7 linked regions of the Tribolium castaneum genome follow. Each later gene encodes a partner of the first gene's protein in a complex. Links are inferred from orthologs where the notes say so. Each region holds a gene or a part of one and is shown in the gene's direction. Other genes may lie near its edges.

Region 1 (3,328 bases):
TGCGCCAGTTTTTGAGCGTCCTGTATATTATTTGTGACATTTACTTTCCTAATTTTTTTTGTAAATTGACTACCACTTTATTTAATGTAGCATGATCAATTCTATAGAAAGCCTTTCTTATTCTTTCCTCTATATTTTTTGTGGTATTTGATCTCGTTTTATTTGATAAGTTTGTGGTTAAAGAGGGTTTGAGATTAAAAAAAATATGAGTTTTTTTGGTAATGTTTAAATATTTTATTATCTCTTCTTCCGGTCTCTTACCGAAAAATGCAAAATGCAGAGATTATAAGTTATTTAAACGAAGTGATTCAATGAATTTAAATTCCTTAGTCGACTTGAACAACCATTTTTGAACAGTCTGTACAAGTATACCTTTTTTAAAAATATTTCTTGTTTCGAAGAATAATTTAAAAAAAAATTTATTTCTTCTACAATGACCTCATCAGAGCAGGAACGGACAGTTTTAATATACCTACGAATTAAAAAATAAACTTGTAAATATTACAACTTACTTTTTTTAATCTAGTTTGTAACTAATTAGTTTAGCCAAGTGTTTTCACTGTTTTCACTGCTTGTTGCCACAAAAAATTAATAATTATTGAGTCACACTAATTTATTATTAATTTCATAATCCAATTTTATCCTTTTTTTTATTTAAATTTCATAATCGATCGTTCACTGGTAAATAACCACCTAGTCTTTTAACATAATTCAAAAAAGTAAAACTAGAAAATTTGTATCCAAAAATGACTTTTTGTAAATTTTTTGGGTAAAAATGGTTTTATTTAAGTAACATTTTAATAAAATTGTACTAATAAACTTGTACTTGCAACGTAGTCATTTGATAACTTAAAACTAACCGGAATTTTTCAGTTCTTTCGACAGAGGTCAGAGTTGCGACCGGACCCGAGATCTTGCGAAAATGATTATTACTAGTTTTGTGTTATCTATTCTAATATTGTAATAAATAACATAAATTAATCAGTAACAAGTGTTTTTCAAATACTTTAGGTAGGGGAGAGTGGGGTTATTATGTACAGTGAATAATTATGCCCAAATTTCTGTAGGTTAACCCTCTTATCCTATAATCTAATTTTGCCCATTATAATCGTGTCCACATAATTTCAGCAATTTTGAAGCCTCACTCAAAAACTGTCAAACTAAAAACGTATCTTTCTCATGTTATAGTTATAATTTAGGCGAAAACAAGTCAAAAATTACTTTTTTTAACTTTTCAGATAAGTATTTTCTAACTTCTTATTAACATATAATTTATATAATCGACCTAATCTTAAATTTTTCTCCGCAAAATGTATTCATACAGTGGAACCCCTGTCACCCGAACGGGGATAAACCGACTCCACCAATTATTTTGTTCAATTTCAAATTTTGAATTCGAAAAATTTTTATAACACGAATTTTTGTTTAATTAATTAATTAACTAAAAACACGCAACTAATAAAAATTAAGAACAAGAACACTAGATGCACTAGAGAGAGTTGAGATTTTTAAGGTAAACACTTTGTTGGATTAGTTAAAAAAATTGCTCATATTATAATAACAGGAATCACTTGAACTCAACAAAAGTATTATTCCACTGTATTCTACAAAGATGATTTGAAGTGGCAACGGCCTATTCGGGTGATCGAAGTTCGACTGTATAAAGCAAAATATTTCATTGTTACTACGTGCCAATAGCAAGGTTATTTTGATAATAGCTGTGATAATAGTAAATAATAAAGAATTGTTTTTATTTTCAGAGTCCATAATTATCTGCAAACCTATAAAAAAAATAACGATTTAAAATTGGCGCCACGTAAGTGGCGCTCCCTTCGCAAGTTTTCTTGCCATCTCTTTCTTATATGCTCATTCTCTTTCCCTCTATGGAAGAGGGGGGGTAAAAAAACGTAAGCCAAGCGTGTTTTGCCGGCATAATATAAAAATTGTCTTAATTACACCAAAAATATCAACATGAAATTAGTAAGGTGAGAACGTAAACTACTGATTGATCAGACACGTTTTTATTTCCTTGAATTCCAAGTAAAACTCCTGAAAAACCACCTAACCTAACATTTCGGCCATTTTCAGGTTTTTAATGAAACTGAGCCATGAAACGGTCACAATGGAGCTGAAAAACGGCACACAAGTCCATGGCACTATAACCGGTGTAGATGTGGCCATGAATACGCACTTAAAAGCTGTAAAAGTGACTGTAAAGAACCGAAATCCTGTGAACTTAGACACCCTAACAGTTAGAGGAAACAACATTCGTTACTACATTTTGCCCGATAGTTTACCCCTCGAGACTCTGCTGATTGACGACACCCCCAAAGCCAAGGCCAAGAAGAAGGAGAGCGCCCGGGGGGCTGCCAGAGGCCGCGGGAGGGGCCGTGGCAGAGGGGGCCCCCGAGGCAGGGGCAGAGGGAGAGGGCGTAGATAAGAATACGTTCATTAAATTAAGTTTCGTAATTGTAAGTGTGAATCTTTTCGTTTAGTTCCAGTATTTGTAAAACTTTTATAATTCTGCTAAATTCATCAATAAAACATATTTAGGTTTAAAATGTCTTTGTTATTAAAAATCGGGACCTTGTACTAAAATGTATAAAACGTAAACTGTGAAACAAACAAAACAGAAGGCGGCTACAAATGCGAATGATTTTCGATTGTGTCTGTGGAGTTGTGAAAGTTGGTTTTCGTTTGTGGTTAAAAGTTTGCGAACTTCTCGTAACTCTTTCTTCATGTCGGCTTTTTTCTCGTTGGGGATTTCATCAGATTCGATCTTTTTTTCTAAAAGTTGGACCCTCACGTAACAGGCTTTGATTGCTTCTTCTGTTTTTGTTATCTACAAATGGTTAAATGAGTTTGGTAAAATTAACGTTTTACTGATTACCTCCTTCATGACGGAACATTCTCCTAAAGATAGCCCCATTTTTCGGGTGGTCTTAAACACTGACTATCAATACAGAAACAGATGGACTATCACTTTATTTAACCTCAATTTTTTTTATATTAATAATTATTTTACAAATTTAGGAACATTCTCTTACTTTCAATACAAAAAGTTAAAGCTAAAACATTATCACTCATTCAGATTTGAGATAAGAAATATTTTCTCAAAATCAAAATAAATATAGAAATTGCTTGCCATCGAGTATGCAACCAACATTACAAGCCTGCATAACAGTGATGTCTAAATTAAAGCTTTTTTGGTATTTATGTGCTCGATTTTTGGTAATGAATAAATTTGGGTTCATTAATTTCTTGGTACCTACCAATTTACAGGTCAAAAGTCTTCGATGCAGAGTTTTCTTCATAAAAACTAATAATA
Region 2 (4,886 bases), on another chromosome or scaffold:
TACGTCTAAACTCTTCATCATAAACATTTTTTCCTTAACTTTAAGAAATGGTAATCATCGATGAAAGAGAGAGAAATTGAACCTTTCCAGCCAAGTTTTACATTTTTATTAACAAGCTTTTGGAAAAGTTGAGCGTCTAAATAATGTTATGTACAAAATCTATGAGATTTTGGGAATTTGTCTATGTATTTACAAAATACGTAGGTACTTGAACCCAAAATTGGTTCTAATTTTTAGGAAAGTTGAACCTGTCGCTGCTTGGCCGCTTTTAGCATCTACGTGAACTTTAGATTCTGTTTCAAATTGTAAAGTTATTGGGAATTCACGATTTTGTTACGTTTTTCATACGAGAACACCTTCAATATCATTTTTTAGAAAATTTAAAAAGACGACAGGGAATATGAAGGGTTTTTGATGACCAATTTTTGGGAAGAGATGTTTTACTAAAAATTGTGACTGAAAGAAAAGCATTTTTAGCATTGAAGTATGTTTTAAGTTATGTATTTAATATTAAAATAAATATTGAAAAATTTCAGAAATGTGAACGTTAATATTGGTAGGTAATATCTACGTTTCCTACGTCCCTGGTTAAATTTGACGTAAAATTATGTCATTTTATGCATTTGACAAAAATTATAACCTTGAAATTATTTTCGACATAAACCTTTGACATAAGTTACTAACAAAAATTTTAATAAAAAAGGATAGAAATATATACCCTATCCACATAATACAAAATTGGCTCGGTTTGACGTTCAGTGTCCCAACTCTCCCAATAAAGGAACTCTAGGGTTTTATTGACGTTGCGAGGAGAATCGATTGTTGGCAGTTTGCGGGCCAAGTGGAGTTTCTCATGGGGTCATGAAAAATTGAAGGGTTTTGCTTTTTTTAAAGGGGGCTTACGTGGTCGACGTTGATCTCTCCTTTGTACATGAACTCGACCAAGCACTTAATATCTACATATTTGACATCTTTCATGATGAGGATGGGGTCTTTTTCTTCGTACTGGGACAGGATGGTTTCGAAGTAGGTGCTGCAGGCGGAGAGGACGATCTTGTGGGCCTTGATGGTGCGCCCCTCGCAGGCCAAGGTGACGTCGCAGAAGGCCTCCTTCTCGAGGAGCTGCGAGAACATGGTCTGCAAGTTCGAATGGTGGTACCTCCATCTTAGACAATACTGTTGAGGCAGCATTTTTGGTTATGTTCGTCCAGCTTCCTTCCGACTGTTCGCGTTGGAGATGACGAATTTACCAAAAAGTAATGAGTCACCAGCGTGAGACCTTCGAAATAATCAATACTCGTCGGTTTTGGGGCCTTTGGGCGAGCGTTTGTTTTTTAAATCACCACCACTTCACTGGCACGGCACAACGCATCCGCAAGTCGACTGTTTTTGCGAGGTTTAACAATACAAAGTCCGGCCGAGGATTTCTCAAAAATTTGGAGACGCGTATGTAAATGTTCAGTCATTTGGAAAATTCCGACAAAAAATGTGTCCCTTAGTTTTTTATGAGTCAGTGAGCCAATAGAAACCACGTAAGACCCCTATAAACCATGTATAGTCCGTATATTCGCCGGGCCAAGCCTTTAAGGCAAATCAATACCGCACGTCTTAAAAAATTCTCGCGTAAAAAATCTTGGGAATTGTCGAGGTTTTTCGTCACACACAAATATTTGTCGAGAGCAACGGCTTTTCAGCCTAACTAACGGCACCAAACTCGACTAACGCAGATCCAAAACGGGGTCAAAAATTAAACCGACACAGACTCGGACTGTACTGTAATTAGGCCTTTCATATTTATTTTTATAAACTTGAGATTTTTCAGAGCCTGGGAAAGAAAGAGAAAATCTATCAACTGTTCAAGTTCAACGATCGGTCGTCGCGCCGATTTCGCACAAATTCACCGATTCTTTCACGATTTTCGCACACAAAACACCAGCACGGACATTGCACGGCTATTTAGGCGGTTTCCGCGGCACAACATCGTACATTTACTAAGATTTCCGGACCGAACTTGATAATCTCTCTCTCTCATGGAATTTTTTGGAAAAAAATTTAGACAGAGATAGCAAAACGCTATGTAAAGAAAACAGAAATATTTCTTTTGTGGAAGAAATCGTAAAAACTTGCCGTTGGCTACACTGAACTCACCAGGCGGTTTTGGTTACTTTTTTTGCGACAAATGTCAACTTGACGTTACGTTTTGAACCGATAGCAGTGATAACATGTAAACAAACGTTTTTTACGAATTAACTTGCACAAATACTCATTTTTGCTCAATTTTTAGCACCATGTCCGACGATGAGGACGCGCCTTACGTGAAAAAAACCAAAAATATTCACTACGGCTCGTTGGAGGAAGCGGAAAGAGCTAGGTTAGCAGCCGGCGATGGGAACGATGATAGCAATGAAAAGGCCGAAAGCACGTCGGCGAACCCGCCACAGGTTCACATTTCCACAGGTATTACTTTGGCATCCGTAATTTCGTCCAAATGCCAAAACCTCGCACACAAATGAGCTAAAGCTCAAGTCAACATCAGTTTAATGTAGCGCTAAAATATTCACGAAAAATCTAGTACAAGTGGTACATTATATATTTCTTATTCCTTAATGGAGCCTCGTGGCTCAAAACCCAGGTTCTGTTTTTTGTAATTTCTGTAAAACCAAATTTTGAGTCATGGAATCAAAGTTTTTTATTAGAATACTTAAAATCTTATTATTTATTTATTTATACAGGGTGAGTCAGTCATGAGTTAGTTCTGAAATCTGATGCAACCAGTAAAACTAATTCCACCTGTCCAGTTGTATTCCATTTTTTGAGTATATTGTTAACTTTATCTTAACAGTTTTGCCACTGATTTTGCTAAAACTCCTTTATGAACTACTATTTTTTCAAAAATAAAAAACCGAGTAATTTACCCTGGTATCTTTATTACATGAGAGTATTAAGAGTAAAATTTATCGTTGTAACTGATCGTTTAAATGAATTTCATCGTAATTTATCTCAAAAAAAGCTGGTAAGCAGAAGGTTAAAGTCTCAACATTGTAGCCAATATTTTCTCCAAATTCTTGTGATAAATTTTTTGCCAGTCGACATTTAGTGACATTTGAAGCGCTCAAGAGTGGCTTATTAACGGCCCAGTCAATAACTAGGTTCACATATTGACTCGAGTTGCTTTGTCATGCGAAATAATATGATTACAGATTTTTAAAAAAATATAAAACCTGAGTGATTCAGGAAAAAATCAGGTTTAATACAGCGATTAACTTGCACTTTGGCTTTGAAACTGACAGCCGCGGTGTTATTAAATCAAATGCTTTATTGCGCTATTAAATAAATAATTCGTATTAGAACTCCTTTAATGCCATAAATGCACAATAATATTAAATTGAAAAAAGTTGTGCCATAGGCCCCAGCTTTATATAATTTTTGCTTTTTAAAAAGAACAGTTTGTAGGTGTACCTACGAATGGTAAATAAAAAAAATGTTTATATAACAGCAATTATCACACAATTATTAAAAATGCGTGCTTAGGTGCCTGTTTTTATGTTAAAATCTTTCACTTGAATCTAATAAATACTGTTACGTTTAATTTATTCAGAATACATGGAGCTTGAGGACGCCATGTCCCGCGACAAGCAAGCCCTCTTGGAGGAATTCGAGCGTCGTCGTAAAGCGCGCTCTATTAACGTCTCCACCGATGACGCCGAAGTGAAACGAAACCTTCGCCAATTGGGAGAACCGATCTGTCTATTCGGGGAAGGACCGGCAGATCGGCGTTCACGCCTCCGTGAAATACTAAGTCGTATCGGTGAAGACGCAGTCATTCGACGCGAAGCCGAAGAAGAACGTAAAAATTTCGAAAAAGATCTCGAAACAACGTGGTATCATGAAGGCCCCGAAAGTTTGCGAATAGCCAGATTATGGATAGCGCACTATTCACTGCCGCGGGCCAAAGCCCGGCTTGAGGAAGCCAGAAAAGCGAAGGATTTATCAACGGCTACTAGAACAGCCAAGAAGCAGGAAATACAGAAAAAACTCCAGATTATGTCGATTTATTCGAGTCAGATTGGCGATTCGAGACCTATTGCCTATTGCCAGTTTAGTCCAGATTCGAAACTTTTAGCCACAGCTGGATGGTAATTATCATTTAATAAGTGAAATGAAATTATTTGTTTGATTCAAGGAGCGGGTTGTGTAAAGTGTGGTCAGTGCCCGACTGCACACTCAAACAGACCCTGAAAGGTCACGCCTGTAATGCCAGTGCTATTATTTTCCACCCTAGAGCAACAATCAGCCAGGAGGAAAATATTTGCAATATGGCATCGTGTGCAGCCGATGGTTCAGTAAAATTGTGGGATTTTCAAAGCGAGGAACCGATCGCTGATATCGAGGGCCATATGCCACATCGTGTCTCCCGGTTGGGCTTTCATCCCTCTGGAAGGTTTCTCGGGACTTGTTGCTTTGACTGTTCCTGGAGATTGTGGGATTTGCAGCAATGCACCGAAGTTTTACACCAGGAAGGACACGTCAAACCTGTCTATTGTATTTCCTTCCAGATTGATGGATCGGTCTGTGCCACAGGGTAAATACTTTTGGTAAATTGTGACAAATAATTAATTTCCCAACAGTGGTTTAGACTCATTTGGACGTGTGTGGGACTTGAGGACCGGAAGATGCATCATGTTCATGGAGAGTCACTTAAAGGCGGTTCTAGGGATAGATTTTTCCCCTGATGGCTACCACATTGCCACGTCTAGCGAAGACAACACTTGCAAAATTTGGGATTTGCGCAAACGTTCCGTCTTGTACACAATCCCAGCTCATACGAATTTAATTTCGGAGGTGAAGTTTCAAAGGGACGGCGGCGATTACCTAATTACTTCATC
Region 3 (3,389 bases), on another chromosome or scaffold:
AATATTGGTGTTATCAAGATTAATATTCAATTTAATTTCAATCGCTACTGATAACACGCCTGTTAATAATGTGTTAACTTGGGACAAATTTAGGTTATGAGGCAGGTGGTTAGGATAAGCGAAGCGTTTGTGTCCTTACCTAGGTCATCCATGGTAATAAGCTGCCGTTCTAATACTAATTTTAAGCAAAACTTCTCAACTACATCACGAATTATCGGCACTTTTTAGGAAAATGACCTTATTTAGGCATTTTCGCAGAATCACAAATGTCAAGATATGAAATTCCAGACGGTCAGTGTAGGCAACCTTGAAAGAAGTAAACAACGGACGGGCAGCGCCTCTCAACAAGTTTTGCAAAATTTTAAAAACCAAAATTTTTTTCCCGCACAAACCTTGCGAATTAACTGACTGAGTTGCCCCCCGTATCTAAGTGACTTGATAACTGCGTAACGAAAATTACGTTAAGTTATGATTTAATAAAACATGATAAGAACTGATAGTGATAAGGACGTCTAAGAAGACTGCAAAATCCAGCACAAAAATAAAATTAAATTCGTTGCTCTTGTTTTTATTTAACTTTAGTCACCGTTGGTGAAGTCCCTGATCGGGAATCCCCACAACCCAGAGATAAAAACCATAACAAGAAGATAAAGTCATAGACCCCACAGGTCACCGTATATAAATGCAGAAGTTTATCATCTCGAAGGTTACTCGTGTTGTTCCATTAAAGGACGTGCTAATTAAATAAATAATTTTAATTTTGCATACAAGGCAAAGTTGAATATGGGACGAAAGTTCGTGATTATTTTCTCAATTTTGCACCAAATTCTGGCTCGAACAGGTAAAACCACCGCTCAAACCCCATCCATTGCTAAATGAGGTGTTTCCAGAGTCAAACTTGCCGGCAGTGTGCCCCGAAATCGTGAGTCGCACTAGATGGGGGGCTCGCACTGCTTTGGAAGTGGATTACGCCCTAATCCCTGTCGAAAACGTGGTCGTGCACCACACGGTGACCAACACTTGCAGCACTGAGGAAGAATGTGCGGCGATTTTGCGAAACATTCAGAATTTTCACATGGAAAATCTAGATTTTCACGATATTGGATACAAGTAAATTTGATGATTTTTGTTTTTTTTTTTTTAATTATGGTTTAGTTTTTTAGTGGGTGGTGACGGCCAGATTTACGAGGGCGCAGGTTGGCACAAAGTGGGGGCGCACACACGTGGGTACAACTCCCGGTCTTTGGGGCTCGGTTTCATCGGCAATTACACGAGTAGGTTGTTTTTCGTGTTATTTTCGTACTTTACGAGCCTTTTATTACAGCTCAACTTCCAAATAAAAAGCAGATACAAGCCGCTAAAGATTTTCTCCAATGCGGGGTTGAGTTGGGAGAGTTGGGCAAAAGTTTCAAACTGTTTGGGGCCCGCCAAGTCAGCGCGACGGAAAGTCCGGGCCTAAAGCTGTACCGCGAACTACAGAACTGGCCGCACTTTACCAGGTCCCCGCCGAAATAAACTGTATTCTAGTTTTTAAAATAAAATTATTATAAAGCATACGATTTTGAATTTAAATATGGCGCCCATTAGTCGCAAGTTTGAGGTTATGTTGTTTTGATTATTCGAGGTTAGGGAACTAAAAACCGTAAAAATGCCGAATTGGGACCAAATTCAAGCCCAGTTGAAGCACCCAGCGAACCCGGTCGTGTTTTTCGACATTTCCGTCGGAACTACGGTACCAATAACCCAAAATTTCCGAAAACTGTATTTTTCGATTACAGGAAATCGGCCGAATGATTTTCGAGTTATTCGCAGACGCGGTCCCCAAAACCAGCGATAATTTCCGCCAGTTTTGCACCGGCGAGTTCCGCAAAGACGGCGTGCCGTTGGGCTACAAGGGGGCTAGTTTCCACCGAGTTATCAAGGACTTTATGATCCAAGGGGGCGACTTCGTCAATGTAAAAATCACGGGATGCGATTCCGCAACTAATTAATATTTTTAGGGCGATGGGACCGGCGTTATGAGTATATATGGGGGCGGAACGTTTCCCGACGAAAATTTTAACCTAAGACATGACGGTCCTGGACTTCTATCAATGGCAAACAGCGGCAAAGACACCAACGGTTGCCAGTTTTTCATAACTTGTGCAAAGTGTAATTTCCTGGACGGCAAACATGTGGTGTTTGGACGCGTTATTGACGGACTTCTCGTCATGCGGAAAATCGAAAACGTGCCCACGGGGCCCAACAATAAGCCCAAAATCCCGGTCACAATTGTACAATGTGGCCAAATGTAGTAGTGTAATTCAAATTTTAATAATAAAAGCACAAAATAAAACTTAGTTTAAATTTTTATTTTGTCAGGTTGGTGGTCCCATAACCTCACTTGTCAAAAACGTAAATAATCGTGAAATGGAAAATAAAAAAATATCGTTCGGTTTCAGCAAAATTAGTAAAAAGACCGAAATCAGGTCAAGTGTTCCGAAACCCGAAAATAAGATACAGCTAATTGACTGTTTAGAGGGTCAATCAATTAAAATAAAAGGGTATGTTTCGTTTTTGAGGTTATGTTATTTTTGCCAAAAACCTCATTTTAGTGCCGTTGAGGAGACAAATGAGCCGTTGGTGATACCAATCCAAGGCCCATCAAACAAATTAATAGACCAAATAAAAAAAGCGAGGGAAAAACACGTCAAACCTGAAGTTAAAGAAGAGACAGGGGAGGCAAATTCTGTGCCAGACTCTGCCCTATCTCTTGACGAATTAGCGGCAAGAGAGTTAATCCGAGGTACTTACCCTATGTTTCAAGTGATTTTCTAGTGTGAATAAAATTTTCAGAGGCACAGACTCGCAACACTGTACAAAGCGAGACAAAAGTCTACTCCTTGCCTTTAAATGACGACAAGTTTGTGGCAGAGGGGGCACAGGAGTCGTCTCTCGACGACTACGAAAGTGTACCAATTACAGATTTTGGTATGGCGATGTTACGTGGCATGAATTGGAAAGAGGGAATGCCAATTGGGAAAAGGACCAAAAAGTTGGTTTAACTTTTCTAAAACACATCCTGAAAATGATTTTTTCTAGATCTGAGGTCCCAAAAGTCCCAGAGTTGCGCCCCAAAGGCCTGGGCTTGGGTGCCAATAAAATGGTCAATTCCAGCACCCCTTCACAAAGTGTAGATAAGGAGGGTAAAGCGCTCCAGCTTGTGAAGGGGGCTTACGGTAAAATAATAGCCGGCAATCACAGAAGTCAATACTGCCAAGTCCAGGGTCTGGATGACGAAAATTGCAGAGTTATAGTGAAGACAGCTCTCACGAATGAGATTTTAAGCTTAAATGAATTTTTAATTGTGCCAGTCACGAGTGAGGAGTATAATAAGTGTTCAAGGGTCA
Region 4 (4,325 bases), on another chromosome or scaffold:
ATTATTAATACCTAACAGATGTCACTGGGTCACGTAACGTCAAAAAAGTGACAGTTGTTGGTAAATAAAATGTTGCAAATAAGTGTATTTTTCTTTTGATCTGTTATGTTTGGACAACTCAGCACCCGTAAGTAACTGGGGGAAGTACACAAATGTAGTTCTTACGTAACAGTTCTTAGAAACACGTCAAGACCCCAGTTGTAAAAAATGACAAAAATCAGTGAAATCAGCCGAAATTCGTCTGCAAGCCTTTCCGACGATGACGAGGAGACAAGAGTGCGCAAATTTGCAAAACACATGCTCAAGAGCTCCCTATTTATCGGTACGTTTCTGGAAAAAAGGCTGGTTGAACCTTTGAACTCGTACCGCGATGTAATTAAAATATGCGACGATGAACACGACCTTATTGCGAATTTAAAAGCAGTGAGGAAGCGCTGCTTGAAGCATTTTACCAAAAATGTGTGGATTGGTATCACGGAGCCGAAAACAATCGGGGCCCCGGCAGGTTACAATTTGTGGGTGAGTCTGGACGAAGAGGTTTTTGGGAGTTTTTGGTACAAAATCAAAAACGTTGAATTCTTCCACAATGAAGTTAGAGTCAAGCTTGAAGTTGTGAGGCCAGTCAGAGAGAAGACTCCAGTTCATAATATAACTCCCACTCAGATTTTTGAAGACGTTTCTCAGAAGAATTTGGGTGAATTGGGTGCAAAATTTCAGGAGTTTTTCAAGGATCAGTTGAGGAACTTGTTTACTGAAACCTTGACTTGGCCCAACATTAAACAAGCCACCATATTTATGGTTCTTTTGTTATCAACACTGATCACTTTCTTGATACACACCATCAAGTACCTTCTAGACTATCTCCTGAAACTTTTGCGTGAAACGCAAGGACTTATCAGGGTTTGCACCCCAATTATTGTCAACTTTATGACTTTAATTTCGAATACCATTTGTGGATTTTATTCTTTATTGGCGGTTTTGTGGCGAAATCGGTCACCACCAATCAATCAATTACACATATCTCCGTATGATGTACCATATTATAGAAGTAATATGAGGGCATTACCTTACCAGGCAGGAGACTTTCAAAGGTATCGCAAATCTCGCGGATCTTCAGTCAAGATCACTCCGTTGGATTAAGTTTCTTTGCATTATATAATTCTGTTTGCATTTTTAATCACATCGCTGCAAAGTGGGGCACTAGGCAAAGCTACTTTATTGTAGTCGACTCACAATGTAAATAATTTGTGTAATATTGCTTTTATCTGGGCTCAGGAATGTTGACATTGGGACTTGTACAGATAAAAACTAGATGCGTTTTGTGGTCAAAAAACTATGTATTTTATTGTAGACTTAATAACGAAATATTTATAAGTGAAACAACTCGTATCTATTTTTATAATTGTTGAAAAATACAAATGTTAAAAAAATTGGCGTGCTTTTATTTTGTGACCAAAACTACCCAAATAAGAAATTCAATTCAATTTGGTATGGAAATTAACTATTTTTTGGTTAAAAAAAAAAAAAACTCAAACTCCCTCCACGGTTGAGTCAATAGTAGTTTCTTTTCCTGTCTATTCTACGAACCAAAAGTTACCAAATGGTGGATTTGGTGATTTTTTGCAGAGAGGTTAAGTACGATTTTGTTTATTTACCCGAAGATTAATTACTAGTATTACAATTCAGTAAATATCCGGAGTTAAATACTCGTCTTCACAATGACCGAAGACGTGCAGAGACACTCCGTACATACGTTAGTATTCCGTTCCTTGAAACGGTCTCACGACATGTTTCTCTCAAACCAGGGACTACTGCCATCAGTGGACGAAAAAGCGTGAGTAACAAACCACAAAAACAAGCAGCCCTTAATATTACGAATTAAATAGCGAAATGGTGCGAAAAGCCATAAAAGCCCGTGACTTGTACGGCCTAGTCTTTGACGACGTTAAGAAAATGCAAGCTATGAAGCACTTACGGGAGGCAGAAGCTGGGCCAAACCCCCCACCACCGGGCACACGCACTGACGACGCGGCCCCAAACACCGAGGGGGCTGTTGTACCGTACACTGACACAAGTTTGATGACACGAAGCGTCCAAAATAACACACAAAACCAGCTCGCCAATTTAATGAAAAAAGTCCCCACAATGCCAAAGCCGAAATGGCACGCCCCTTGGAAGCTATACAGGGTGATTGCGGGGCATTTGGGGTGGGTCAGGTGTGTTTCGGTGGAGCCAGGAAATGAGGTATAAAATTTTTGTTGGCAGCAAATTTGTTACCGTTTTTTTGTTAGTGGTTTGCGACCGGCGCAGCGGACCGAATAATAAAAATCTGGGACCTGGCAAGTGGGCAGTTGAAAGTGTCCCTAACTGGGCATGTGAGCACGGTCAGAGGGTTGGCTGTGAGCAGTAGACACCCTTATTTGTTCAGTTGCGGTGAAGACAGACAGGTCAAGTGTTGGGATTTGGAGTACAACAAAGTCATTAGACATTACCATGGCCATTTATCGGCTGTATACTCTCTAGCGCTTCACCCCACAATCGATGTTTTATTAACAGCAGGGCGTGATTCAACAGCCCGGGTTTGGGACATGAGGACGAAAGCAAATGTTCACACTTTGACCGGCCACACGCATACTGTAGCTAGCGTGGTGGCGCAAGCCTCCGAACCTCAAGTTATCACAGGATCTCATGATACCACAATCAGATTATGGGACCTGGCAGCTGGGAAATCAATTTGTACGCTTACCAATCACAAAAAGAGCGTTAGAGATGTGATTCTCCACCCGACTTTGTACGATTGTTTAATTATTTTTTTTGTAATTATTTTATTATTTGTAGGAACATGTTCGCGTCGGGCTCACCCGATAACATAAAACAGTGGAAATGTCCTGACGGGAAATTCATACAGAATTTGTCCGGTCATAATGCTATTGTTAATTGTCTCGCTGTCAATCCAGAAGGCGTCCTGGTTTCAGGGGGCGATAATGGAACTTTACATTTCTGGGATTGGAGGACCGGTTACAATTTCCAAAGATTACAAGTAATTTTTGTAACTTTGAAGGAAGTCAATCGATTAATGTTACATTTTTAGGCCCCAGTACAACCTGGGTCAATGGACAGTGAAGCTGGAATATTCTCAATGATTTTCGACAATTCTGGCTCAAGATTAATCACAACTGAAGCTGACAAGACCATCAAAATCTACAAAGAGGATGAAACTGCGACTGAAGAAACGCATCCGATTAACTGGAAACCCGATATTTTGAAACGGAGGAAATTCTAATTCTATGATTAAAATAATTTGTATTTTTATAAAAATAATAAATAAAATTTTATGAGCTACTAAAAAGTTTTAATTTTACCCAACTTTGCATTATTTATCAAATTTTCCGAAAATTAATCAAACCATTTGACATTTCTAGACCATTAATAATCGCAGAAGTGCACAAAACTTACGATTTTCTAGATGTAAAATCGTGAGGGTAAAGGTTAAAATGCTCTACGATAAATAATTTTTAATTTGATAAAAACAATAAATTAATTCGTTTGCGAATTTGGAATGCTTGTTACCAATCATATTTCCTCGTTCAAGTCGTAATCTTCCTCAGGGAAGTCGCCACATTCAACGTTGTGTGGCTTAACAAAGGCGCCATAATTATTAGCACATTCAAAATATTTCTTGCCTTTAAATCTGCAACAAAAGCTAGAATTTTTTTTCAACTGATGGTCGTAACTTACGTTCCATCGTTTTTGCCCAAAGGTTCGTCATACTTGACCCCTATCCAATATCCAGGTAAGGTCTCAACAGGCCCTGTGTACATCACAGTGCCAAGTCTGCAGGGAGCATTGGCTACAGTAACTTTGCATCTTGAACCAATTGGCGTGCTTTCTGCCAGTTGTTTTTCCTCTGACATTTGCTTTTCTTTCTTTTTTATATTCTCCTCGTTATATTGCCCTGAAAATTTACAATTTATTCTGGAAAATCTTGGGTTTTGGTGGCAATTTACCCATTTTATTTTTCATTAAAAATGCCTTGACTGAATCTGTCTTTTTATTGTACTCTTCCTCGGGTAACTCATATTTAGGCACATCTCCAAAATCAAGCTCATTGCGTATATTAAACTGGTCAATCACGTGTAGTCTCATTCCATCGTCCAAGGGATAAGAACCAAGCAAAGCCTCATTGTTTGAAAGTGAACAAATGTGCTTATTATCCTTGTTGTACGCTTCAATTTGCATCGTATTGCAATTGCCTCCTGTTATTAACTCGAGTTTTGCCTGAAATATTGAAGTTGCGATCCGACTTCGTCAGAAAATGCAAAAAT
Region 5 (4,908 bases), on another chromosome or scaffold:
GACAGAGTATTCAATTGAGCAAAGCGGCACAAATTTTTCTTACATGTAAACTAATTTCAAAGCTAACTAGATGACAATCATTTAAAAACACATTGTACTTGAGCCATCAGATACGAAACTATTTTTCAAAATTTTGTCAAAAATACCTTGACAGTTCACCAAAATAACGAAAAATGATGCTATATTAGCTTTTTCGAACCTAAAACTCAGTTTTTTCGAGAGATTTTGTTGAAATCAATTAACCAAGAAATCATTAAATTAAGACAAAAAATGAGTGATTTTCAATATGTAAACAGATTTGCGAAAATGAATAGGTAATCGGAATTATTAATCCCTTTTTTGTTTATTAATTGTTTTTAATGAAGTAATTATTTTTTAATTAACTTCTTTTGAGGTAAATAATAGGGATGGGTATGGGAAAGAAAAAGTTCAATTATTTTTACTTAAATTTATTCACGAGCCGCCGCTGTCTCGCACACTCAAACCCGTCTTCTTATCTCACTTCACCCTCTAATCTCCGCTCTAATCTCCGACACGATTAAAAAAAGATGACCTAAACGCCACCAACACTTCATCTCACTCTCCCAGCCTCGGCACCCAATTAAAACAAGTGGGGGGAGTGGGAGTGCCCCCAATAAAACAATCAAATCAACAAATAACAATCGACTTTATCTCCTGCCAACTTGATTACATTGTGACATTTCGTAATGATTGCAACTCGCGTCCACGACCTACTTGACCGTCGAACAAAACAAAACACCATCACATCGTCTGCTTAAAATATTCTACATAAATATTAAACAGTTTAGTTCCACATTGTGCTATATATAGACCTCGAAATCGTCACAAACGTCACACGAGTGCGAGAGAGACGCCAACTGTGACGTGGCATCACGGCCAACTTCAATGATTCACACATAATCACATAAACTCGATTTTAGCCGGGAATTGTCGAAAGTGCTTGTGCGGCGTTGCCACATCGCACAAAACTGGGAAAAAAACGCCACAATCGGGCACAACCACCACAATTTGCGACCCGATCAAGGCGGCCGCGACTAACAAACGACAGTCAATTAACAACAATATTAAACAATTAAAACGCCTCCTAAAAACAGAAATTTTACCACAAATAAAACGTCCTTTTTGTGCCAAAGCCGCCTCTGATGTTAATTTCCCGACACGGCCCTTAATTTGCCCTTAAAAAAATAGGTTAGTTTGTTTAAAAGTCACCGACCTGCCTATTTCAGGCGCGGCCAATCGGAGCCAAGCCGGGCCGAACGGTGTGACACCGGCCACGCCCCCACGCTAAGCGCGACCAATCACGCCGTGGTAACTCTCAAACGGGGGGAACCCCGACCAATGGTGACAAAAGGGGCGTCAGTAACGGTTTAGGAGGTTTTGTTGCTTTTTCCATACCTCCTCAGTCCTCATACTATTATTATTACAACCTTGAATTTGATAGTGTTGTTATGGTAACAATAAGACGGTAGTTGGCCTCGGGTGAACTTGACCCCGCCATTGCCGGTAAATGGAAAAACTAGTGACAATTACGTCACGTCTAAGCAGGCCATGGACCCCGACAAGGTGAACAAAAGACAAACGATTGGCCATAAAACGAACAATAACGAACGTCTTGTTCTGTAAACTGAAGCAAAGCGGCTTATAAATAGATAAGAGGCCCCCTTGCTCCATTTGTCTATTTTTAGGCCCAAAATCAATATTTGCCGATTGGGCGCCATCTAGCGGAACGGTTGACCAACTTGGTAATAATTCCTGTCAATTAATTGATGTGATACTGTTATCAATTAAACCAAACGTCGCGACTAACAATTTGGTTGTGATTGTTTCAATTAATTAATAAAATTGGCTTGAATTATGTAGTGAGTCCAGGGAGTTTATTTTTTGTGGCCGCATGGTTGGTAACTCCCGGCAACAACAACCTAACCTGTGACTCGTTTGTTAACGTTTTGCAACGTTTTTTCACAAAAATCGTGCAAAAAGTGGCAAATTTGTCCCAAAAACCACTCGAATCATCGTTTTTTGTGCTCCGGTCGTGTGGATTTTACCGTTTTTGCTGTTTTTTGGGGTTATGTCGAGTCGTGTTTAGGGCCCCAAAAGCCAGAACATGGACGCGGATTTGTACGACGAGTTCGGTAATTACATCGGGCCTGAGCTGGACAGCGATGACGACGAGGACGAGGAGCCCGAGCCCCAGGAAGACGAGGAGCAGCAAGACTACGATGTGAGTGTCTCGAGGTCCCCAGAAGCCCCCTTATTGTCCCCTTTCAGGACGAGCAAATGGACGAGAGTGAGCCCCAACCCATGGCCATTGTCTTGCACGAGGACAAGCAATACTACCCGTCTGCTTTACAAGTCTATGGGCCTGATGTGGAGACTATTGTGCAAGAGGAGGACGCGCAGCCCCTTGACGTGCCTTTGATCGAACCGGTGAAGAAAAAGAAGTTTCAGTTGAAGGAGCAGGATTTGCCCGATACGACGTACAATATGGAGTAATTATTTGGGTGAAAGTAGGGGTAAAAATAATTTCACTTTTTGGTAGGTTTTTGGCCGATATGATGGACAATACGTCGCTGATACGTAACGTGGCCTTGATTGGGCACTTACATCATGGTAAAACCACGTTTGTTGATTGTTTGATTCGGCAAACGCATCCAGGGTATCAGGACTATGAAGAGAAAAATTTGAGATATACCGACACTTTGTTCACGGAGCAGGAAAGGGGCTGCTCGATCAAGTCGATCCCAATTACGCTACTTTTGCAGGACGTTAAGAACAAGAGTTACCTAATGAACATTTTTGACACTCCTGGTAATAACTCAATAATTAATCCTCCTTTAGACGCGATGTTTCGGCAAAAATTCGTCGACAAATCACCAGATTACGTAAAAAGTGTGGCGATTTTTGCATTTCTCAAACGCACACTTCTGAAGTGACGACCAGCAAATCATGAAAAGTGGTTGAAAATAATGCTGTTTTGCCTTTTTTGTAACATTTTAGATTATTTTTTCAGACAGAAAAACAACTATATTTTGATTTCATATTTTTTTGAGTAAAAATTTAGTGTTTCTCCGAGATTTCGATTCGAGTAGTTTGAGAAATCACTAAATAAAGTCAAAAAGATGTAACTTTTGCCTGATTCGAGAATTTTAGGGCATTTTTTAAAGCTAGAAACGCTATTTATTTCATAAGGTTTTCTCAAAAATTACAAAAAAATACGTAAAATACAGCAGTTTTTTGGGGTTTAAGCGCGTTTTTGTGCTAAAAACTCAATCTTCTTACGAGATTTCCCTAGAACTAGAATAGAAAATGACTAAATTGGGTCGAAAAATACACAATTTTTGGTATTTTTGCGAGTATTAGGACGATTTTAATCCAACGAGATTATTTCACTAAGTTGTTAAATAAGTAAAACATTTTTTGCTAAAACTGTGTTGAAAAATCAAATTTTTTTTTGCAGCACGTTTCTCAAAGGTATTTCGTTAAAAAAGAAGTAGCAAATGAAATAAAAAAATTAACTTTTTGAGCGTTTAAGTGCATTTTGACAAAACTTTACTATTTTACACTGTAAAGACTTTCTTTTTATTGCCGGTTTTTATGTAAATTATAGATGTGTTCTTATTAGTATTTACATTTTTCTAAGATTTTATGAAAAACACACAACAAAAATATTTACGCTTCTTTTAGATTGTTTTAGCAACGAGTAAACTAGTTTTCAACCAGCAAAGCAATTGTCTCCTAAATTTATAGCGCAATAAACCCAAAAATTGGGCCGAAAATAAAATTGTTTTGGCAAGTTTTTCAGCCAGAAATAATACGTTGTTCAAAATTTAGAAGTAATAGAGTTTTTTTTTACCTTTTAAAAAAGTGTGTGCGCGTTTTTGGCCCAAAAATGTAATAATTTCTCAAAAAAATCAGTCAGGTGGGGTCAGTATATAGATAAGCACATTTACAAATTTAAAAAGTTTTTCTTGACCACTTACGTGTGTTTGGGTTAGAACACCTTTTGTTAAAACCAGATCAAAATTTTCATCATCAAGGTGTTAATTTGCTAAATCCCACCAAGAAAACACAAAATAAGTTAAAATAATAGCTTATATTTTGCATTTTTTGAGCGTGTAACTTTAAATAAACAAATCACTAAACTTGACCTATTGAAAATTAATAATTTCTGTTCAAAATTTCGTGAAATCAGGTCGAATATAACATTAGTTTTACTGTCTTCTGGTGCTTTAGCATCTTTTATTGTTCAAAATGTTATTATTGTGTGAAATATCTCAAAAATAAACATGAAAAATAATTAATTTGTATCAAAAATCAAGGTATTTTTTGCGTATTTCTAGCTTTTTAATCCAGAAACGCAATTATTTAGCCAAGTTTGATTCGAAAATCACTAAGACTGTGTTGAAAAATTTTTTGCGTTTTCGGAAGTTATAGCACGTTTCTCAACATTATTTCAGGAAAATTTGTCAAAAAAATTGTGTGATTGATTGTTTGAGTACTTATATAAAAACAATTCTTTTATAATAATGATAAAACACTAAATTAGATCCATACAAATTATTTATGCTTTTTTGAGGTATTAAAATGGTTGTTTTTTTAACCAACAGGGTAATTAGTTCTTACATTTTTAGAGCAGTAACCAGTAAACCAAAAAACACGAAATAATTAGTGTGAAAATAGCATTGCTTTTTGGCGTTTTCAGGCGCTTTATCAATTCTTTCAACCAAAAATACTTACATTTGTCACAAAATTTCACAAAAATAAGGTATTTTTACCTTTTATGAAATTATTTTTTAACCAAAAACATAATTATTTAATCAAAAATCATAAATTTCTGAAAAAGAAAACGCCATATTAACCAAAAACTGTATTGCTTTGCTAAGAAAT
Region 6 (4,852 bases), on another chromosome or scaffold:
AGGTGCATAATATTTTTATGGTAATGTTTCTTTTAAATGTTAAACAAATGACATCACGTTTACATAATTCCACGACCCAAAAAAATACAATACAATTTTTCGACGAAAACTAATTAGTAATTATTGCAGAAACATGTTAAAATGAGTAACGATAAGTGGTTTTTTAATGACTTATTTGGGTCGATAAGTTGACCACTAAAAGGTTTACTCATTATTGCGATTAGAGCAACGAGACGACTTTTGGAGGCCTTATTTTCGGTCTTGTTGCGCATTTTACGATAACCCTTTTGTGACCTTTTTATCGGAACTGCACCCAAAACTATAATTAAAATTCTTTCCCCTAACTACTCAAGCGAGTGGTCAATTAATTTCTAAAAAAAGAGCGATTTGTGCGAAATAATTATTTACCATGACTGCAAGTTCCACTTGTAATTATTCCAAGCAAGATGATTAACAAAAGTCGCAACCTTGGGCCCAGCACCTTTAGCACCTACACCAACCCGGCACGCTTTTTTACTTAGAAAAAGTACCAAAAATTGGGCAAAATTTTGGAAAAATGGGAGAGGAGAACGCGCACGGTATCGGCACCGAAAGGTTGAGAACCAACTGAATTGCTATAGCATGGGTACTCTCCATAAAGCAGCCTCGGGCTCTTTTGTACGGATTGGTTTCGTTGGTCGATCTTTGAAACAGCTGGAGCTGGGTTTAAGTTCACTTGGCAGTGACCTTGATGCCTCGAAAACGCTGCATTCGCACTGTTTATTGTTCAAACTGTTTAATAAAATATGGTACACGCAAACATTTCACATATTCATGGGAGGCCTCCGCGAAATTCCGCAAAATTAAAATGCGTGACCTTATCGTTCTCCGCGCCGATTTTTTAAAATCCACAAACTGAATAAAATACCTTGTAACACTTTCAGTATGCCGTAAAAACGCTCTTTTCACCGCGGAAGTATTGTTGAGAAATCTTTGATCGAACTTGTTATTGTGCCATAAAAATTTAATTGTACGCTAGAGCTGTTATTAGCCACTATTATCGGTTTTTGCTTGTTTTTGCACCAACAGCCATTTCTCTTCAAGAAAAAGCGAAAGTCTGTGTCAAGTTATTCATTTTATGGGAACACATTAAAAGTCGCTGTCGAAGTAAATATTCTGAAAATATCGCGACCTGAGAACCATAAGGTTCTGACTATTTCACAATTTTACAATATCATATCTTGTCTTCTCAATTGCCTGAAATGTTATCATAAAATATAACACGTATTATATGTTAATCTACAAACAAACAATACACAATACAAGAAAAAAATAGCAAACTTTTCAGACATGCTCTACTTAAAATTTTATTGTTTTGAACTTTTAAATCAATATTTAAGGTTCCAAAGTAACAAATTTTGCCAAAATTACTTCCATGTAGGTACTTTTTGTTTTCTATCAATAGCTAAACGTTACATCATCTAGTTTTCTTTTATTTAACATTTAAAGATCATTAAAATCCCAAAATTCCCAGGTCGTGATATATTTTTTAGGCAAACGTGACCCCCAAAATCACATTCAAATTTTTTTGAAATTTTAGATTTGTCACTAATTTAGTAAGTCTGTAAATTTTCAAATATGTCTGGAATTAATAAAACCACCAATTCCTGGCCCTCTAGTTATGTTATAATTGCGTAAACACGTACATATAATTAATTATAATTTATTCTAAATGCACAAAAAAATCTGGCGACTTTAAAATTCAAAAATAGTAGGGAATTTGTCATTATCACCAGTGCCACATAACCTCAACCTCTTGCGTTGTTGTGTGTTGTCAATAATCGCCCCAATTTCTTACTGTGTTTTTGTGAGTGCTTAAAAAATGACCACCGACACCGAAACCTCCCCACAGCCCAAACCCAAGCGTAAAAGCCGCTCCAAATCCCCTGAATCCCGTAAAAAACGTCGTGACGACTCGCCCCATAAAGACTCCCGGAAGCGTTCCCGCCGTTCGCGTTCACGAGACCGTCGCAAAAGTCGCAAATACCACGACTTGGACCGCCCCCTTGAAGAATACCCTCGGTATTACGGCGAGGATCAAGAACACAAGAAAAACAGCGATAGATATTGGACCAAATACCCCCGCAAGGATGACCATCAGGTGGGTAGTAGGTATTACGGGGGCGAGCCCGACGATAAAGACAAAGAGTCTGAGAAGGAGACGGATAAGTCGGTGATAGCCCCCCGTGAGCGCAAAACCGTGGATTTACTGACACGGACAGGTGGGGCTTACATCCCTCCAGCGAAGCTGCGGATGATGCAAGCGGAGATTACTGATAAGAGCTCGGCGGCGTATCAAAGAATTGCGTGGGAGGCGTTAAAAAAATCCATTCATGGGTTTATTAACAAGGTGAATACGTCCAACATTGGGATTATTTCGCGGGAATTGCTCCATGAGAATGTGGTAAGGGGGCGCGGACTGCTCTGCAAGTCCATAATACAAGCGCAAGCTGCGTCCCCAACTTTCACAAACGTGTACGCAGCCCTGGTCGCTGTCATCAATTCGAAATTCCCTAATATTGGAGAATTGTTACTGAAACGTTTGGTTTTGCAATTCAAGCGCGGTTTCAAGCAGAATAATAAAATTATCTGCATTTCGGCCACGACTTTTGTGGCTCATTTGGTTAATCAGAGGGTTGCGCATGAAATTCTCGCCTTGGAGATTTTGACTCTTTTGGTGGAGACGCCAACTGATGATTCGGTTGAAGTTGCGATTTCGTTTCTGAAGGAATGTGGACAGAAATTGACTGAGGTTTCGAGTAAAGGCATTAATGCCATCTTTGAAATGTTGAGGAATATTTTACATGAGGGGAAGTTGGAACCGAGGATTCAGTACATGATTGAAGTTATGTTCCAAATCAGGAAGGACGGGTTTAAGGATCATGCCGCTGTTATTGAAGAGTTGGATTTGGTGGATGAGGAGCACCAGTTTACACATTTGATTACGCTGGATGATGTTAAGCAATCAAATGCTGAGGATATTTTAAGTAAGGAAACTTTTTAATTAGGTGGAACTGTACTTAATTTTTTATACAAAAAAATCGGGGTATCCAGGTTTTGAGATTTTTTATTATTATTTTTTTATTTCTCAGAAAAAATTATTTTGAAATTTTAATTAATTAATTCCTTAATTTGCCTCGTTCACTCTGTGATTATCCTGTCTAGATGTGTTTAAATTCGACGACAACTACGAGGAAAACGAGGGGAAGTACAAGACTTTGAGCAAGGAAATCCTGGACATGGACAGCGAGTCGGGCTCCGGCTCGGAGGAAGAGTCCGGTGACGAGGAAGACGACGAAGACGAGGACGAAGAGGAAGAAGAAGGCGCCCAAAAGAACGAATCCAACATAATCGACAATACGGAGACCAACCTCGTGGCCCTACGCAGAACAATCTACTTAACCATCCAATCAAGTTTAGATTTTGAGGAAAGTGCCCACAAACTAATGAAAATGGAACTGAAACCGGGCCAAGAAATCGAATTATGCCACATGTTCCTCGACTGTTGTGCCGAACAACGGACTTACGAGAAGTTTTACGGATTATTGGCACAGAGATTTTGTCAAGTGAATCAGATTTATGTCGAGCCATTCCAACAAATCTTCAAAGACACGTACGCCACAACACACAGACTTGACACAAATAAATTGCGAAATGTTAGCAAGTTTTTCGCACATTTGTTGTTCACCGATGCGATTGGATGGGAGGTTTTAGAAATTATGAAACTGAACGAAGAGGATACCAATAGTTCCAATCGGATTTTCATCAAGATTTTGTTCCAGGAATTGGCCGAATATATGGGCTTGGAGAAGTTAAATGCCAGGCTTAAAGATGCGTAAGTGACTGTGTTTGATAATTAACGAGGTTTTGTTAATTTTTTGGATTTTTTTCAGAACGCTTCAGCCACATTTTGAGGGGCTGTTTCCGCGCGATGATCCCAAAAATACAAGATTTGCGATTAATTTTTTCACGTCGATTGGCTTAGGGGGGCTTACGGCCGAGTTGAGGGAACATTTGAAAACAGCCCCTAAAGTCAATCCCTTGACGATTACTGAAAAATCAAGTGATTCTAGCAGCAGTAGCACTAGCAGTTCAAGCTCATCCAGTTCCGATAGTAGTGATTCGGATTCGTCAAGTTCCGAAGATGAGAAACCACGTAAGAAGAAGGAAGAAAAGAAGAGGAAAAAACCGACAAAAGAAGCATCAGACGATGATAAAAAACGAAAAACAGATGCGAGGAAACACAGACATAATGAGAGACGGTCACGCGATCGAGACGATCGGAGGCGGCGTAGGAGCCCCGAGAGGAAGCATAAGAGTAGGAGATAAGTTACTTTGTACATAAATTGTATTGAATAAATATTTTTATTTGTGACTTGTGTTTGATTCCTTAAAGTTACCAGATTTGAATTTGGCGCTTAGTCAAACCCACACTTTTGGCATTTTTTTTGACGAAATGTGGGTGTTAATTAAATTGCGTGTTTGTGCTTTTGCTAAAATGAGACAAATTTGGGTGAAAATTTTAATTTTGGGTTAGTTTTAACTGAAAATTTGGGTGAACAAGGCTTGGTGGTTTTTGTTGGCGAGGTTGGCAAGCAGTTTCGTCGGGTCCGAGCTGTCATTTTGTGTGTCACTAATTTTTGTTCATTGTGTAGTAAATTGGTGCTATCGTGTTAAAAACAATAAATCCGATCAAAGGTATTTTTATGAGGAAGAAAAACAGTAATCGTATTAGTGCAACGTGAGCTATTTAACCAAAGTAAGTAGCTAGAGCCAAGTCGGTAGGTTAGATGAGTGGAGACGATGTTTTTTT
Region 7 (4,851 bases), on another chromosome or scaffold:
GTCCGGAAGCAAGCATCTCAAAAGTCGCTGATTTAAGAAGTTGGTCCGGACTCGATTGCACACGATTGCTTAAAACTGATTCTTACGAAGAATTTCCTGCTAAATCTGTAGGTCGCTTTTTGACTTGGAATTGCCTTCATTATGAAAAAGACGTTTTTCTGAAAATTTTTGAAAAACTAAAATTGCGCAAAATTTGTGTTTACATCGTCATATTTTCCTTCTAAATAAAGTAAGAAAATTCATTTTTTTGCGCTAGCTTCCCCAATATATGTAGATTCTAACGTATATATAGACAAGCTTTAGATTTTACAAAAAGCAAAGTAAGAAAATTACATTTTTTTTGTATTGTGTTATGGAATGTTCGAGATGCGAAAAAATTTTTTATTTTAAAAGATAGACCTCCACATATGCGAGATGAAATGATCCCATAGTTGAAATAAGTTTTTGGTGGAAGAATCATTTTGATATCTGTAATACTTACCAAGTTATTGTAATTTAAAGTTACTGCAATATGCGCGCGTGGTGGAGATCGGGGCATATCTACCTTTGTCACAGATTAAAGCAAGGCCTTCGACCATATGTCGTATAGACTCGCCATACAGCGAGTTTGTTGGCAGTTTGTTTGAACCCAACATCACGGCGAGGGGAGTGAGGGGTCAGAGGAAGCTAACTCCTTGTTCAATGGCAGCTTGTATTCAAGGGGCAAACAACTGAAAAAACATTCATTACAAGTTACTGAAACAATTTATGTATTCGAGTTTAAAAAAATGCCTTAGCTAAAATACTTCTAATTCTATCTTATGACATGCCGTCAGAGTTATAATATTCAAAAATATTCAGTATCAAAGCGGAAAATCAGAATACGTAACGACACCACTGGTATGTTTCCATATTTAGATCAACACGTGTATTTTCCAACTTACGCATGACATGATCGATGAATAAGCCCTTGTGGATACTTTCTCCTGTATATTTCGACACAAGAACCAAATTTTACCCATTCACAGGTAAATTTAAGCCCAAAATTCATAATTTTTCCCTTTAATCACAATCGAGATTGCACGAAGTTTGACGAATATTAACGAAACACTTGGAAATATTTTGAGTAAACCAATCAGAGAAGGGTTACTTAAGGGTCAAATTCGCGTACCATCGATCATTTCCCCCACTTGCATATGTTGGCTTCACAACAAATCTTAATTTGCCCAGTCTAAACGAAGGTCGAAGGGCAAGGCAGATGTGCCACTCGACTATTTATGAATGAAATTGCAGATGGCGTCGCAATGATCTCTAATCCACTTTTAATCTATGCCTCTAATCTGTACCTTTATAGTGACTACAGAACCGCTGGACCAAGCTCGCTAAGTCAAATGTCGCGAATTTTCTCCGTTTTAGTTTGCGAAAACTAAAGCTCGGGTGTACGTCCGAATTTACAGTCATTGAGGAATGTATTGCAAAAATATGTTGTTTCTAACTTTATCCGAGAGGTACGAGTGTAAGCACAACGTTCTCCAATTTTTGTAAAATGACAGGAAAGTGTAAACCCTGGAATAGTGTAAATCGTTAAATTTGATTTGAAAATGTGAAATTGTTTTATCATTTTTGCAGTTCCCTGTAAATGTTTCTTAAAATCGCCACAAGAGAGCTGTGACATACAGAATTTTGTGGAACTTTGGTTAAAAAACAGACATTTGACACATGCGACGTGCCGTGTAAGAGACGTAAGAAAGTCTTTTTTATCATTTATCAATCTAGGAGGCCGTGATGCACCCAAACAACCTTTTTTCTGCAAGCAACCTTCAAAGTGAACTAGAACTTTTGCTCACGCACAGTTGGTGACCTTGCGGCCAGTGTAGCCACAAGTGCATCACAAGTGGATAGTTTAACAACATGGCGGATGCTGCGGCAAGGCAGCTTCAATACGAATATAAAGCTGTAAGTAATAAAAAATGCATTGCTACTACCTCTACAATTAAGCAAACATATTATACAACACTAATTTAAATTTGTGATTAGTTAGAATTACTATTCGGGAGCAAAATGAGTTGATTTCATCAACGACGCGTCAACGTTTAGGTTACGTTCTGTTTATCACAACACGAAACTTTGTTGTAGAACTCAAATCTCGTGCTTCAAGCTGATGTTCGTCTGATTGAGAGAAGAAGTCGAGATGAGGCTACAGGTGAAGTTGTTTCCCTTGTTGGAAAACTATCGGGGACTAAAATGGGTGACAGGGCACAGAGGACTCGACCCGGCAAAGCAGAAGAACGGAAAGTTAAGTAAGTTGTTGCACTAACAATTATTGTATTAATATTTTATTTGAACTTGTTTTTTTAGGAGGCAAAAACGTGACGAAGCCCAATATGATTTCGCCCGAATGAAGGGGGCCACATTACTTTCAGAAGGTGTGGATGAAATGGTGGGAATAATATATCGACCTAAAACGCAAGAAACTAGACAAACGTATGAAGTGCTTTTGAGTTTTTTGCAAGAAGCATTGGGGGATCAACCAAGAGATATTCTTTGTGGTGCAGCAGATGAGGTCTTAACAGTATTAAAGAACGACAGGTTGAAGGAGAAAGAAAAGAAAAAGGAGACTGAAATGCTGTTAGGTTTGTAATTTAGATTTTTGCGGTAGTTTTTTATTTAAACGCAAATTTTTGTCAGCTCCAATTTTACATTTATTTTTATTCTTTTAGTTACTACCTCAAAGCGTTACTTACGTTAGTTATAATTTTTTTCACGTTATTTACTTTTATTTAACAAAAAAATAAGAAAATTGTCTTTTTCGACCACCAAATTGGATTAAAAATATTATTTTCTACTTTTCGATTGTTTAAGCGGATTTTTAAGATTAGAACTTTTGAGAATTACACATACAGGGCAAGAAGACACTAAATGAGGTTAATTTCTGTGTAATCTGGATGTTTTTTTCAAACGTGATGGCGTTAGTTTTTTTCATGTGGGATTAAGCATATTTCTGAGCTAAAAAATTGTGGCACTTTTACGTAATTTTCAATATTTATTGCGCGAAATTTGTTATAAATAAGTTGAGAAATCACAAAATTGAGTTTAAAATAGTTATTTTTTTTGTAGCCAGACATTTTACTATAACAAGAAGCTTACTAATAAAGTAGGTCCAAAAGTTTTAGTCGGAAACAATAATTAGTTTAAATAATTTTGCGAGAATATTTTCTATAACATCATGTAATATAAAAAAATATGTTATTGAGATTGTAAGCTTGTTTCTAATCTAAAACTGAACCGAAAAATTAACTAGTTTGAGAATGTTATTATTTGTGTGTTTTTTTTTTGCTGTAAAACTTAGATTTGCGAGCGAGCTTTCTGAACTTTTTTTTTGAAATATGTGTTTTATTTGCTTCATTTTGTCGAAAATTAGCCAAAAAATCATTGCATTTATTAAAAATTGGTATCTTTCGTGCTTTTTTTTCATGAGTGAACATGTTTTTTTAATAAAATACCTAAATTTAGTCAAATATGGCATTTTTGTTTCTCTTTTGGAACATATTTCTACTTTTCAAATACTAATGACAAAATGCTAATTCAGGAACTTACCAAATTCCAGCGTGTGGAAAATGGACTTTCCCGCACTGCGGTGTTTTTTACTTTGTAACAATGGCTAGGGATTTTTAATTGGCTACCGTTGAGACGGAAACGATTATTTTCTTTATGATACTTGACAGCTCATGTCTTTTTTTTGATTGTTTGACCTGCAACCCATTAACAAAAAAAACTAAATTATAAAAAAAAAATTTTTCAGAGATTCGTTACAAAAAATATTGTACCTAACTTGTTTGGAAAGCCATTCCCACATTCGCACTTCGCAAACAAAGTGCTCATGTGGGAAATTGCACTTTCCAAACTCGTTAGGTAAATAATTATTGTTTCTACTTTTTTTAAGCGTGTAAATGATGTTATGTTAGTGTTATTCGGATGTTTTTGTACATTTTTCGGTCAGGTCAGGTCAGGTCAGGTCAGGTAAGGTTGTTGGGGCCTTACAATTGGAGCAAAAAGTTAGGTCAAAAAAATATATCGTATATTATATAGTATCCACAGTAACCAATCCAAAAAAAAATACTGTGAACGTAAAGGAAGAATTATTAGGCTAAAACCTTCGATAAACGATAGAAAGCTATAGCGCTTTTATTGTAAACGCGTCCTATTTTCGAAATTTGACCGAAAAAATTTGTAATTACATCTTCTTGGTGGCTCCTGTGGCACGCTCACCTTGTAGGAACAGCGACTTTTAATACAGGGTGATTCAGATAAAATATGCAGCCTGACGATCTGACGATGCAACCCAAAAAAACGTATTTCATTTACGCCTTTGATCCAATTTAAATTATGATTTGTAAGTTGAATCCAAGTTATCTATCATCTTGTGTCACCCTGACATCAGCACAGAGAACGATCATTAGTGTCATTCGGTTCTCGCGGAATGATAGAAAAAGTAGAGAGGTCTTTTCGGTATAAACTCTTAACACAAAATGTGTGAAAGAATGAAACATTAAAGGTTGGTAGAGTTTTTCAAAATCATAAATTACAACAATAAACAGGGTGTTATAGTTTATAATTTATTACGTCAGGATTATAGGATAATTAAACGACGATTTTCTCAACAGGACCTTTTAATTTCACTTTACTCTACAAAAGCCAGTTACAGACTAACTTATTTTCTAAAAAATCCAGACATTCGGCATTCATCTTTAACACATGTTTCCCATCTTTCACACTCGCCCTAAAAGCCCTCACACACACCAACCATTCGGATCTCCCAAGCATCCCTTACAATTCTACGAATTCATATCAAGGGAAACAAAAAATGACTTC

Evidence for each region.
Region 2: SmD1 (region 1) and U4-U6-60K share a complex: the UniProt entries of both Homo sapiens proteins name them as parts of the U4/U6-U5 tri-snRNP complex. The link is inferred for Tribolium castaneum from reciprocal best matches to the Homo sapiens genes SNRPD1 and PRPF4.
Region 3: SmD1 (region 1) and peptidyl-prolyl cis-trans isomerase H share a complex: the UniProt entries of both Homo sapiens proteins name them as parts of the U4/U6-U5 tri-snRNP complex. The link is inferred for Tribolium castaneum from reciprocal best matches to the Homo sapiens genes SNRPD1 and PPIH.
Region 4: SmD1 (region 1) and Tango4 share a complex: the UniProt entries of both Homo sapiens proteins name them as parts of the minor spliceosome. The link is inferred for Tribolium castaneum from reciprocal best matches to the Homo sapiens genes SNRPD1 and PLRG1.
Region 5: SmD1 (region 1) and 116 kDa U5 small nuclear ribonucleoprotein component share a complex: the UniProt entries of both Homo sapiens proteins name them as parts of the minor spliceosome. The link is inferred for Tribolium castaneum from reciprocal best matches to the Homo sapiens genes SNRPD1 and EFTUD2.
Region 6: SmD1 (region 1) and ncm share a complex: the UniProt entries of both Homo sapiens proteins name them as parts of the minor spliceosome. The link is inferred for Tribolium castaneum from reciprocal best matches to the Homo sapiens genes SNRPD1 and CWC22.
Region 7: SmD1 (region 1) and Brr2 share a complex: the UniProt entries of both Homo sapiens proteins name them as parts of the U4/U6-U5 tri-snRNP complex. The link is inferred for Tribolium castaneum from reciprocal best matches to the Homo sapiens genes SNRPD1 and SNRNP200.

Annotation. Positions count from the first base shown.
Region 1 is NC_087394.1:7,020,090-7,023,417, reverse strand, and holds SmD1 (probable small nuclear ribonucleoprotein Sm D1), read left to right. Parts: upstream 1-1,830; 5' UTR 1,831-1,971; coding exon 1,972-1,985; intron 1,986-2,088; coding exon 2,089-2,440; 3' UTR 2,441-2,561; downstream 2,562-3,328. UniProt on the Homo sapiens protein: Plays a role in pre-mRNA splicing as a core component of the spliceosomal U1, U2, U4 and U5 small nuclear ribonucleoproteins (snRNPs), the building blocks of the spliceosome.
Region 2 is NC_087397.1:1,344,537-1,349,422, forward strand, and holds the start of U4-U6-60K (U4/U6 small nuclear ribonucleoprotein Prp4), read left to right. Parts: upstream 1-2,083; 5' UTR 2,084-2,224; intron 2,225-2,284; 5' UTR 2,285-2,288; coding exon 2,289-2,457; intron 2,458-3,598; coding exon 3,599-4,136; intron 4,137-4,183; coding exon 4,184-4,582; intron 4,583-4,628; coding exon 4,629-4,886. Other genes in the region: zinc finger protein 131, read right to left, coding at 904-1,191. UniProt on the Homo sapiens protein: Plays a role in pre-mRNA splicing as component of the U4/U6-U5 tri-snRNP complex that is involved in spliceosome assembly, and as component of the precatalytic spliceosome (spliceosome B complex).
Region 3 is NC_087395.1:17,966,038-17,969,426, reverse strand, and holds peptidyl-prolyl cis-trans isomerase H, read left to right. Parts: upstream 1-1,569; 5' UTR 1,570-1,648; coding exon 1,649-1,732; intron 1,733-1,778; coding exon 1,779-1,955; intron 1,956-2,000; coding exon 2,001-2,294; 3' UTR 2,295-2,339; downstream 2,340-3,389. Other genes in the region: peptidoglycan-recognition protein 2, read left to right, coding at 784-841, 891-1,110, 1,156-1,274, 1,325-1,515; G-patch domain and KOW motifs-containing protein, read left to right, coding at 2,410-2,543, 2,595-2,785, 2,836-3,034, 3,082-3,389. UniProt on the Homo sapiens protein: PPIase that catalyzes the cis-trans isomerization of proline imidic peptide bonds in oligopeptides and may therefore assist protein folding. Participates in pre-mRNA splicing.
Region 4 is NC_087397.1:4,268,419-4,272,743, reverse strand, and holds Tango4 (pleiotropic regulator 1), read left to right. Parts: upstream 1-1,522; 5' UTR 1,523-1,635; intron 1,636-1,686; 5' UTR 1,687-1,718; coding exon 1,719-1,834; intron 1,835-1,886; coding exon 1,887-2,244; intron 2,245-2,291; coding exon 2,292-2,791; intron 2,792-2,838; coding exon 2,839-3,040; intron 3,041-3,091; coding exon 3,092-3,283; 3' UTR 3,284-3,342; downstream 3,343-4,325. Other genes in the region: uncharacterized protein LOC656577, read left to right, coding at 208-1,140; Tbcb (tubulin-folding cofactor B), read right to left, coding at 3,574-3,691, 3,739-3,955, 4,008-4,278. UniProt on the Homo sapiens protein: Involved in pre-mRNA splicing as component of the spliceosome. Component of the PRP19-CDC5L complex that forms an integral part of the spliceosome and is required for activating pre-mRNA splicing.
Region 5 is NC_087401.1:10,799,427-10,804,334, forward strand, and holds the start of 116 kDa U5 small nuclear ribonucleoprotein component, read left to right. Parts: upstream 1-1,778; 5' UTR 1,779-2,125; coding exon 2,126-2,242; intron 2,243-2,289; coding exon 2,290-2,510; intron 2,511-2,560; coding exon 2,561-2,829; intron 2,830-4,908. UniProt on the Homo sapiens protein: Required for pre-mRNA splicing as component of the spliceosome, including pre-catalytic, catalytic and post-catalytic spliceosomal complexes. Component of the U5 snRNP and the U4/U6-U5 tri-snRNP complex, a building block of the spliceosome.
Region 6 is NC_087398.1:673,617-678,468, reverse strand, and holds ncm (pre-mRNA-splicing factor CWC22 homolog), read left to right. Parts: upstream 1-1,732; 5' UTR 1,733-1,861; coding exon 1,862-3,026; intron 3,027-3,204; coding exon 3,205-3,874; intron 3,875-3,932; coding exon 3,933-4,368; 3' UTR 4,369-4,414; downstream 4,415-4,852. UniProt on the Homo sapiens protein: Required for pre-mRNA splicing as component of the spliceosome. As a component of the minor spliceosome, involved in the splicing of U12-type introns in pre-mRNAs. Promotes exon-junction complex (EJC) assembly.
Region 7 is NC_087397.1:20,448,152-20,453,002, forward strand, and holds the start of Brr2 (U5 small nuclear ribonucleoprotein 200 kDa helicase), read left to right. Parts: upstream 1-1,673; 5' UTR 1,674-1,890; coding exon 1,891-1,935; intron 1,936-2,115; coding exon 2,116-2,279; intron 2,280-2,337; coding exon 2,338-2,612; intron 2,613-4,851. UniProt on the Homo sapiens protein: Catalyzes the ATP-dependent unwinding of U4/U6 RNA duplices, an essential step in the assembly of a catalytically active spliceosome. Plays a role in pre-mRNA splicing as a core component of precatalytic, catalytic and postcatalytic spliceosomal complexes.